3 linked regions of the Macaca mulatta genome follow. The protein of the gene in region 1 purifies or fractionates together with the protein of each later gene. This does not show direct contact. Links are inferred from orthologs where the notes say so. Each region holds a gene or a part of one and is shown in the gene's direction. Other genes may lie near its edges.

Region 1 (3,649 bases):
CTGAGGCTTCTGAGGACAGCTGCCTCCCCTCCCCTTGGGTGTGCAGGCTGCGGAGTGGTGGGCTTTGCCTTAGAGCTGCTCTGCCCTGCAAGGCTTGTCATGGCAGCTGAGGGAGGTCAGGCTGCCAAGAAGTGGCCTTGTCTCTCCTGGATTTTTGACTGCACCTGGCTCCCCTGACTAGTCCTGGGGCCACCTTTCCCCTCCTCTCACCTGCAGAGCCTGAGGGTTCTCTTCAGAAATCCCTCTGGCCTTCCCCTAACTCTCCTGAGCTCCCCTGGTGGGGAGGCCACTCAGTAGGGTCCTTCCTTCCCTAGAGGCTTCTGTGTCCTCCTCTGCCCACCCCTCACTGTTTCCAAACTTGCCAAGTTGTGTGTGTGTGTGTGTGTGTGTGTATATGCACACACGTGTGACCCAGTTCTCACACTCCACTCTGAATCCCCAGAGTCAGGTCTGACTCTCAGGCGGGCCCCTAAAGCCACTATTTCATGTAGCAAATCATGACGCCATGATCTTCCAGATGGGGTGATTCCTCTCCCACAAAGGGCGGCTAAACAGTGCAGGCGGCTCCCAGGGCTGCAGGGCAGGGCCCGGTTCCCTCTGAAAGGCCCTACCCGGCTGATCTGTGTTGACTGAGCTCATACCCTCCCTGGGTATCTGAGGGCACATGCTCACCCTCCCTCCTGCTCCTGGCTCACACATCCCCTTCCCATCTCCTGCTGGTGGCTGGCCCTGGCTTTCAGTTTTTCCTCACTTTCTGCCTCCAGATCTCAACTCCTTCCAACAGACCTCTAAGTGGATCGACGACGTCAGGACAGAGAGGGGCAGTGATGTTATCATCATGCTGGTGGGCAACAAGACGGACCTGGCTGATAAGAGGTAGGTGCAAAGGGCACACAGGTGCAGGGTACCACCCTCCACTCCTCTCCAGCTGCTCCTGGACGGGGAGCTCTGGGATGCGTGGGTGGTGTGTCTGTGCTTCTGACCATGCATCCGGAAAAGGTCCCTTGAGACACTAGGAGCTTTGAGAACACCTGGTAGACTCTCACCCCTGGGTGTCTCATCTGTGAAGCCCTGTCTTCCACCACCAGGCAGGGGCGGGGCAATCCTCCGTGTGCTGTCTATACAGAGCCCTGTGCACCTGGCTTGGCCCAGCAGTGCATGGTCTAAGACCCTGCCATGGCCACAGCACTGCCCCAGACACAGCAGTTCCCTAAGCCCCAGTGTGTGTACTGTGAACTGTCTGTGCCTGTGAAGTGTCTGCACCAGTGTGCATGGGGGTGTGAACACCCTGGGCCCTAGGTGTGAGCATGCAGAGCATTCAGACCACAAACCTATAGCTGTAGCCTGCTTAGCCTGGTTTGTGGCTGCATCTGGCATGAAGCTTTCTCTGAAGAGTCTCCTCCATGCTGCCCTCCATGCACAGGGAGAACTGAGGTGCCATGTGTGTACGCTGTCCACTCGTTTCACGTGACCCTGACTTGGGCAGATAAAGTGACAGGCCATGGACTCCAGCAAGCAGTGCAGGCTTCCTCAGTGTCCCTTGAGCACCTGAGGAATCATCTGAATTAGAGCCTGCTTTACTAGAGTTCTGTCCTTAAAGTAAGGAAAACTGGGCTCAAATCCCAGTACAAAGGGCACCTAGGCCCTTCATACCCTCACCCACTTCTGCCTGCCCCATCATGGAGCCCTCTCTGCTAAGCAGCTTTGTGGCCCCGGGGGAGACACTTTTAGCATTAGTGTTCTCATACGGAAAATGCGACTAATAGCACCACCCAGAGTGGACTGTGTGGCTTGAATCTCTTCACAAGCACAAGCTCTGCAGTAATTACTACTGGGAAAGGCAGGCGTGGGGCATCCCTACCCCAGGGCCTGCTTTGAAGCTGAGAAGACACGAAGGAAGGAGTGGGGGAAGGGGATAGTGTCCTGCTTTTCCCTGGTGCTCGCTTTGTGCTAGAGACTATGGTTGGTGCCCAGGAGGGACCCCTGGGATCAGAGCCTGTCTTCAGGGCTGACCAAGGGCCTGGTGGGCTCCCTCTGCCATGCTGGGCGGGTCCCTCCTCATCTCTGCCAGGGGCTGCTCCTCTGCTGAACTGATTTCCCCCCTTCCCTTCATCTCTAGGCAGATAACCATCGAGGAGGGGGAGCAGCGCGCCAAAGAACTGAGCGTCATGTTCATTGAGACCAGCGCGAAGACTGGCTACAATGTGAAGCAGGTGAGGACACACCTGGCACCGGGCCTGGCACGGTGTGGTCCTGTGGTCAGCCTCAGGCTCAGACCTGCCTTGCCCTGAGGGGCTGGTGGCGGGGTTGGGGCAGCCAACCAGAACACCCATAGATGCGCCCAGGGCGGGGAGAGCTAATTTCTGGAGCTGGTAAAGCCCAAGAGAGGGAAGGAGCACTCCGGGCATGGCGACTGGAGAATGTAAGTCACCAGCCACCATAGCAGTGGCCAATCACAGCCCACGTAGCAGTCCCTAAGAGTGTCCAGCCACCAGCTTCCAGGTGGCTGAGGGAAGCAGTGGTTCCCTAGCCCCTCACCCCACTTCGGATGACGCATGCAGGAAAATTCAATCCGATCAGCATTTGGGGTTCATGCCTTGCACTTAGCAAGTGCTTAGGGCTGTGGAGGGCAACTCAGGCCTGGAGAAAAGAGCCCACCATGGTGTGGCTGGAACTCACAGGAGGGCGAGGCAGTGGAGTTAGGGCCGAGCCTTGCAGCATGAGGGCCCCTGAGTGGTCCATGGATGGAATTTAGCAGGTCAGCAGACAGGGCTGGAAAACATTGCACCTTTTATCTTCACTAACCACTAACCCATCCATAGCACTGAAGGATGTCTGTTTGTCCTGCAATGATTAATGTAGGCAATGACGCTCAGTCGTATTAGTGGTGCCTATGGCTTTACCACCAGTAGAAATCACAGATGCCTTCCCATCACCTCACAGTGTTGCAGATACCTTGAACTTTACATGCATCAGTGTTTCAGTGTCACAGTAGTTATTAGATCTCTTACTAGTTCTCACTGTTCAATGTGTTCATAAGGAAGCACGAATGTCGATGAGGTGTATTCCAGTACTCAGTAGTTCCCTTTATCATCCTATGTCATTGATTTCACATACTTCAAAGGAGTCCATGGGCTTCACCAGACTGCCAGAGTGGTCCTTGGCTCACGGAAAGGTTGAGAACTCCTGCCACTGGGGATGCGAATAGGACTTGGAGAGGTGGTGAGGAGGGAGGGCATGCCAAGCAGGGGAGCAGCACAGGTGTGGCTGCAGGGTGCCCGAGGTGTGGGGAGGGGACTCTGGATGAGGAGTGTGGTTGGCCTGGCGTTCGCTTCTGCCCTGCCCCCCGCATTGCTGGGAACCCTCGGCAAGCTGTGTATGCAGCACTGGCCTTTTGGATGCAGTGATGGTTTGCCCTGTGCGAACAGTGCTGGTGGCAATGGGGAGGGTGGGCTGGCAGAGCGACAAGAAGAGACAGAGTGGAAGGGACACTGTGTGACACTGGGGGCCCCAAAGCTCCAGGACTCAGTACCCCACCCTAACTGGAGTGCCCTCAGCAGGGCTCCACTCACTCCCATCTGTTCCCAGCCTCCCTTGGTGTGGGGCTGAAGCTGCCATGGTCCTTCCTGCTCCCGGGGGCCATGGAGGA
Region 2 (3,649 bases), on another chromosome or scaffold:
CCCATTTCTGCAGGCATTTCAGATCCTATTAGAAACTAGGCTAACTCCCCAGTCATTTTGTCTCTCAGCTTTGCTTTCTTTTATGAAAGTAAATGCAAACGAATACAGCCTTTTTACTTAATTCTTTCTAAATAACATAATTTTCTCCTTTATTTTACCTAACAGGTCTATATCGTCCCCCGGGCTGCCATCTTTCGCAGTGATGATGCACTCAAGGAATCAGCAGCCATGCTAAATAACATGCGTGTCTATGGCACAGCTTTCTTGGTCCTTATGGTATTAGTGGTATTTATCGGCGTACGCTATGTGAACAAGTTTGCCTCACTTTTCCTGGCCTGTGTCATTGTGTCCATCTTGGCCATCTATGCTGGAGCCATCAAGTCTTCTTTTGCCCCTCCACACTTCCCGTACGTGTCTGTCTCTCTGCCTAGCCATCTTTGTTGGGTAGTAATTGAAAATATCTGGTGGTGTGATAATTTTAAGTCAGAATTTCATGGAGTCTCTCCGAGATTTTCCCTCTTGGATAAGCCCATTTAGAGTTCCTTCCCCATCTAGGCAGGAAGCCTCCCAGCAAACTATGTCCTGTTCATCCTCTTTCTTATGTCCCAAACATAGAACTAGTAACTGTAACCATAATTTATGTTCAGATATTAGATTTTTTTCTCCCTGATAATTGTACATAATCTTTTTTTAATTATACATATTTTGAACTATTCATAAAGGGCTTTGCAGACAGTGTAGTTATTGCCAGCAGCCTTTATAAGGTATTTAAATGTTGGATTTCTTTTACTAATGAAAAATCAGGGGAGTCAAAAGAAACCTAAAATCTTACCTAAAATGTTTAATTAATTAAATTTTTTTTTCTGTCAGTATTGTAATGGACTAGTCATAAAGGGAAATACTGTACAATTTGCATGCATCTCTCTATATATGTAATATTACATACTATAATACAGCTACTTTTTTCAACCTTGATTTTATTTTTTTTAATTTGTATAAACTTATGGGGGTACAGGTGTAATTTTGTTACATGCACATGTTGTGTATTGGTGAATTCAGGGCTTTTATTAAGAGTTGGAATCTCACTTTGTTGCCCAGGCTGGAGTGCAGTGGCATAATCTTGGCTCATTGCAACCTCAGCCTCCTGGGTTCAAGCAATTCTCCTGCCTCAGCTTCCCAATTAGCTGGAATTACAGGCATGTGCCACCACACCCAGTTCTTTTTTTTTTTTTTTTTTTTTTTTTTTGTGAGACAGTCTTGCTCTGTCACCCAGGCTGGAGTGCAGTGGTGCAATCTTGGCTCACACAACCTCTGCCTCCTGGGTTCAAGTGATTCTCCAGTCTCAGCCTCCCGAGTAGCTAGGACTACAAGCACACACCACCGTGTCCAGCTAATTTTTGAATTTTCGGTAGAGGTGAGGTTTCACCATGTTGGCCAGGCTGGTCCTGAACTCCTGATCTCAAGTGATCCGCCCACCTCGGCCTCCCAGAGTGCTGGGATTACAGGCGTGAGCCACTGCGCCCAGCCTAGGTCAGGGCTTTTATCCATTACCCAAATAATGTACTTTGTACCCATTAAGTACTCTCTCACCATTTACCTCCTCCTTCAACTCCCTAGTGCAAGTACTTTAAAGTATGTTTTTTGAAGTAGTAATGGATTTGTGCAGATCTGTGACTCACAGGCTCCCTTTTCCCTTTGACTAGTGGCATAGGGACTAGCTGGCACTGAGTGTTATTTGTAGTTTTGTTACAGAATTATCTTGAAGAGTCATCTGGATTATCTGAGGATCAAACTCATTGGTTCTATGTTGATTTAAACAGATTACAGAAAAAAAGATTTTTCAAGACAAAAAGACAGTTCCAATAGGTTTAATGACTTACCTCAAAGTTAATTAATGGCAGAGCAAGAAGATGAACTGTGATTTCCTGACTCCCCATTCAGTATTTCTTCTGTGCCACGCTACATGATGGCAGAAGAAGATTCCATCTTAAACTTTTAATCTGCTTATCTAGGGACTGTAATATAGCTGAAGGTCCTTTCTAGGGTCATACAATTTCTAAAGCTGACATTCTGGTTATATCTCAATTTGGGAAATTCCATTTTGTCTCAGGTTCACCTTTGGGACTTCTCCTCTTTTTTGATTAGTACACGGTCATAATGCATGGTATTTTCTTTGAGATATTCCAGCAAAACAAGACAAAAAATCTAGAATACATGAAACAAGACTGAGAAATGTTGAGAGTTGTTGAAGCTGAGTAATAGGTACATGGTTCATAATAATGTATTCAATCATTTTACAGATTTTAAAAGTCCCTTTGTTGGACCTGAGAGGTATTTTAACTATGGATGTATTATTCCTTTGTTTATATTTGTGTCTCTGGGTTAAAGAAAAAAATAAAACCAGCAGGTTAATATTTGTGTTATCCTTACCCTCACTCCCACTGGGTCTAGGCTTAAGTTCAAAAACAGTTTTCTCTTAGGCCATAGAGGGATCTGCCTTTTAATTCTGGCCAAGCTGTTTTCCTTGCAACAGTAGCCAGAAGATTCAACCTTTAGCATAACATTTTCAAGGGGTTTGTTAAGAATGTAAGGCTTTTCTAGGCCAAAAAAAGAGGAGTGCTTTTTTCTTTATAAGAACAACAAAAGAACTTCAGTATTCTTTTAGACCTAACAATTTTAGCCAAAAATTTTGGAAGATGAGTCAGCATAATGTCTTCAGACAGTTCTTCAATTTGAGTTCCTTCACTGCCACCTACCACCTATGACCTTGGACAGATAACTGTATTTCCCTAACCTTCAATTAACTCCCTAACTTCCTAAACTTCAGTGCTTCCATCCACAACATAGAAATTCTAATACATTGTGAGGTTGCTGTAAGGATTAAATTGGCAGAAAATGTAAGTCGCCATTCACAGTGCTAAAATAAATTATAAATAAATAAACATTAGTTCCCTTCCCACCCATGACAGTAGAAGCTCTTAAAGATGGGGTTCTTGTTTCCTTTACTAACCTGTTTCCTTTTTTTCTTTTGTAATGTGTTTTTTTCCCTTACTTGATCTTTCTCCCTATTTCTTTTCACTTAGGGTCTGCATGCTGGGTAACCGCACCCTTTCATCAAGACACATTGACGTTTGCTCTAAAACCAAGGAAAGTAACAACATGACAGTCCCATCAAAGTTATGGGGATTCTTCTGTAACTCGAGTCAATTTTTCAATGTCACCTGTGATGAATACTTTGTTCACAATAATGTCACTTCAATCCAGGGCATTCCTGGATTGGCTAGTGGTATCATTACAGGTAAGTTAGGGAGTTATTGGACAAGTTTTTTCCTATTTTCTGGGGAAAATAGGCCTTGTCATCTTAGATTCTTCTGCTGTCCATAAAGATTCACTGCCATGGTGCTAATTTCCTTAAGCATACCACACAGCTCTTAATTCAGCATATTTCTGCTTTTCCATTAGTAAAGCTGTCCTTATTCAGGACTCCTTTACAGAGTGATGTCTGCTAAAATTCACCTCCATTTCAGAGCAGAGTTGAGCAAATCACTTTCTAATCTTAGGATAAATTATTCTGTGCATTCTTGTAAAATTGCCAGTGTTCTTCCTGCACTGACAGAATAGAACTATTTTAATGTCCACATCCACATGT
Region 3 (3,649 bases), on another chromosome or scaffold:
GTGATGGGGCAGGCTGCAGTACGTGAGTTTAGAATAAATTACAATTGATTTCCAGCCAACTTCCACAAAAGAATCAGAAGCAATAGCCAACAAAAGAGTCTCCCCAAGTGATTGTTACTCTCAGGAAGATCGAAAACCATGCAGAGGAAGGGGGCAAGGACTCTGAGATGAGACAGATGGTGACTTTATCTAAAGAGTAAATTTAGCTTGGAGATTCCTGGCAGCCAAAGCAGAAAGAGCAGTAAGACGAGCTGTATAGCTGCCATTTTCTGACAAAATGAAGCATCTGATTTATCAAAGGGAGACACTTTTTTTGTCACAAAAATCCAAGAGTAATTTTCAAAGGCTTTTCACTAAAGGGCCATTAATGTCATTAATGTAAGGGGCAGAGTGTTACTGGGTTTTCAGATTTTTCTTGGGACTCCTGATCCTGAACAAGCATGGAGGGCACAGCAGATATCATAGAGTGTCCAAAGAGCTACATGACCTCACCTGGCTTTAATATGACATGGTGGACTATCTTGACCTCTGGCTGCCTTTGTCCACTGTAGTCCTGGCTCCCATTTTTCTCCCTGCTCAGTCCGACACCCACCGGTCCGACTTTCTTAGGCGACTCTAGAAGGCTCCTGGCATCCACTTCTGCTCTCCATGGCCTAGGGCTTGCCCCGCCTCCCGGCATGCCCTGGGCTGCCCTGCAGGATGCCGCCGCGCAGTGCATAGTGGGGTAGCCAGCCAGCCACCTTCGGGCCATGGCAGCCGAAGGTGCTCTGTGGGGCTTCGTGTATCTGGAGGGCACTGCCTGGGCGGTCCCTGAGGACACCGAGCCCTTGGTATCCTGCACATTGGGTACTCCAGAAAGGCTGGGAAAGGGACTGGGGCGGGGAGGGGATCTGGGGGCGGGTCAAAGGCTAGCCCCGCCCACCAACAGGCCCCGCCCCTCAGTGTCCACACGTGCTTGTGCTAGGGTGCCTGCTCCCTCACCTGGATTCCCTTCTCTGGAGGGAATGATGTCCCAGGTTTTGGTCACTGGCCACTCTCTGGCTATCTCTGGCCCTTCAAGGGCATTGTCATGGTGCGATGTGGAAACTGAGTTCCAACCTGGTGACACTGCAGCTCCAAAGTGCTCCACAGAAACGATGTTTTGGGGACTGGCTTTCTGGGAAGGGGCACAGGCTGGGGGGGCTCAGGAAGCAGGCCCTGATTGTCCCTCTCTCTTCACAGGACATGGCAACCACAGAGAGAGCAGCCCTTTTCTTTCCCCCTTGGAGGCTTCCAGAGGAAGTGACTACTATGACAGGAACCTGGCACTGTTTGAGGTAGCTGAGGAGCCATTTTGGGTCACAGGTTTGGCAGACAGAGGCTTTAGCTAAGCAGTCAGGCTGGACACGTGGCCCTCCTCTGTCTGGCTCTTCCTCTCATTTCCTCTTGTCTTCCTGGCTCTCATGGCAGCCGGGCTGCAGTTCCCTTGGCCCTTTCAACTGAAACTGCCTTCCCAGAGGCCACTCACAACCCCACCCCCATTGCTACCTCCAGGACTGTTCACCTCTGACTTCCTTACAACCCCTCAGCAAGGAAAAGCCCGCTTAGGATTTCCCAACTCAGGATTTCTCCTCTTCCCTCCACTCCTGGTTCTTCTCCAAGTCCATAGTTCTTCGCTCTCCCGAGGATTCTTGTCCTTCTTGGTTGGCTCTTCCAGCTCTGTCTCCCTCTAGTTTCCCGAGTCCTGGTCCATTTGCAGCTTTAGGGGATACCTCTGTGGAAAGATTCCCAAATATCTGCCTCTGTACTTGAGTTTTATCTTCTTCAGACTCAAGCTGAGCAGTGAGATCTGGATTTAAAATGTAGTTTAAGCTCCTAAACTCTGACCCACGCATTCAGCCATTGTATGGCTGAATAATGGAGACTCCTTAATCTCTCTTTTTTTTTTTTCTTTTTTCGTTGAGATGGAATCTCACTGTGTTGCCCCAGGCTGGAGTGCAGTGACGTGATCTTGGCTCATTGCAAGCTCTGCCTCCCAAGCTCAGTGATTCTTCTGCCTCAGCCTCCCGAGTAGCCGGGATTACAGGCGCCTGCCACCACACCTGGGGAATTTTTGTATTTTTAGAGACAGGGTTTCACCCTGTTGGCCAGGCTTGTCTTGAACTCCTGACCTTTAGTGATCCTCCTGCTCGGCCTCCCAAAGTGCTGGAATTATCACTGTCAGCCACCACATCCGGCTGAGGCTCCTCAATCTCCACATGCCCCCAAGGGCCCTCATCTTCCCCTCTCACACCAAAGCAACTTCTCCCTGTGTGTAGGTCAGAAGGGAGCTGACAGAGAGGGAAAAGCTAAATGTGGGCAGGAGGCAGGTGGAGGCACAGCATCGAGAAGGCTGCAGGAGCAGGGATCATCGCCTAGACCCCGGTGGGGCTGGGGAGCCTGAGCTCTGGGAGGCCTCCTGACCTGGGAAAGCAGCAAGATTCTGCAGTGAAGGCCTTGGCCCAGCCCCGCCTGAGGATGAGAGGGTCAGGATCCCATCTCTGTGATTGACGTGGGTACTCACAGGACTGGGGTCAGGGGAAGACCATCCAGGGAGATCAGGGTTTGAGCAGACAAGAGAGACTTCACTTGTCCGAGACATCACTCTTTTGCCCTCTTTTGTTCCCTGAGGTGACTAGGGTGACTTTTTTGTGGGGAGGGTAGGCGTGAGTCCTAGAGGTGCAGCCATAGCTGGGAGGTGGCTGCACAGAGCAGGCAGGATGAAGTGTGCCATTGCCCGCCTGCCAGGCGTGTTCTTCCCTGCCCTCTCTCCCCTGAGGCAGGTGGTTTTCACAAATGGGCTGGCAGTGATTGTAGCCAAGGTGGGGTAGAGAAAAGCAGCCGCGGGGCTGGGCCTTTTGAGTGCCACGTCCTGGGGTGTGGTGTCCACACCTGTCCAGTTGGATGGCTTGGGCTTCCCCAGGCAGGAACTGGGATCAGGCCCAGGCCTGTCTCAGGGCTTGGAACAGGGCCAGGGATCAGGCAGCTGGCTTCACACAGCTGGTACCCGCCTGGCCCAATGCCATCTTGCCCTGTGGCTCTGTTTACAGGAAGAGCTGGACATCCGCCCAAAGGTATCGTCTCTTCTGGGCAAGCTCGTCAGCTACACCAACCTCACCCAGGGCGCCAAGGAGCATGAGGAGGCTGAGAGTGGGGAGGGCACCCGCCGGAGGGCAGCCGAGGTGAGCTGAGTGGGGCAGCAGAGGGGCCACACCTGGGAAGACAGACACAGCACCATGGAATTGGCTGTTTCCCCACATGGTGGTGAGCACACCAGGGGAAGTGGGTGCAAACCATGGTGAGCAGGGAGGATGGGCACTGAGTGCCTTGGCTCAGGAGGCTTTAAGAAGTGAGCTAATGAGAATCTCCCCAGGGACAGAGGGCCAGGGAGGCCCTCAGGAATGACGGCGGGAGACACAGCTGCCTGTACTCAGCCTTTACTGTGTGCGAGGTACCACACCAGGCAGTGGGCCTGGGTTCTCACATGTCATCTGTTCAACAAAACCAAGAGGCAGGTGCTACTATAATCCCCATGTTTCAGATGAGGAAATAGTGTCAGGGACATTAAGGAACTTGTGTAAAGTGACTGAGCTAGACAAGATCAATGTGTAATGCTGGGAGATGGATTCGT

Evidence for each region.
Region 2: the proteins of RAB6B (region 1) and SLC12A6 purify together in Homo sapiens (affinity purification with mass spectrometry; 4 studies listed by BioGRID and IntAct, with this or other methods). This does not show direct contact. The link is inferred for Macaca mulatta from reciprocal best matches to the Homo sapiens genes RAB6B and SLC12A6.
Region 3: the proteins of RAB6B (region 1) and SLC12A4 purify together in Homo sapiens (co-immunoprecipitation; 3 studies listed by BioGRID and IntAct, with this or other methods). This does not show direct contact. The link is inferred for Macaca mulatta from reciprocal best matches to the Homo sapiens genes RAB6B and SLC12A4.

Annotation. Positions count from the first base shown.
Region 1 is NC_133407.1:36,883,932-36,887,580, reverse strand, and holds part of RAB6B (ras-related protein Rab-6B), read left to right. Parts: intron 1-764; coding exon 765-876; intron 877-2,119; coding exon 2,120-2,213; intron 2,214-3,649. UniProt on the Homo sapiens protein: The small GTPases Rab are key regulators of intracellular membrane trafficking, from the formation of transport vesicles to their fusion with membranes. Rabs cycle between active GTP-bound and inactive GDP-bound states.
Region 2 is NC_133412.1:11,449,134-11,452,782, reverse strand, and holds part of SLC12A6 (solute carrier family 12 member 6), read left to right. Parts: intron 1-165; coding exon 166-407; intron 408-3,083; coding exon 3,084-3,298; intron 3,299-3,649.
Region 3 is NC_133425.1:63,540,299-63,543,947, reverse strand, and holds part of SLC12A4 (solute carrier family 12 member 4), read left to right. Parts: intron 1-734; exon of another isoform or gene 735-749; coding exon of another isoform or gene 750-846; intron 847-1,172; coding exon 1,173-1,316; intron 1,317-3,068; coding exon 3,069-3,200; intron 3,201-3,649. UniProt on the Homo sapiens protein: Mediates electroneutral potassium-chloride cotransport when activated by cell swelling. May contribute to cell volume homeostasis in single cells. May be involved in the regulation of basolateral Cl(-) exit in NaCl absorbing epithelia.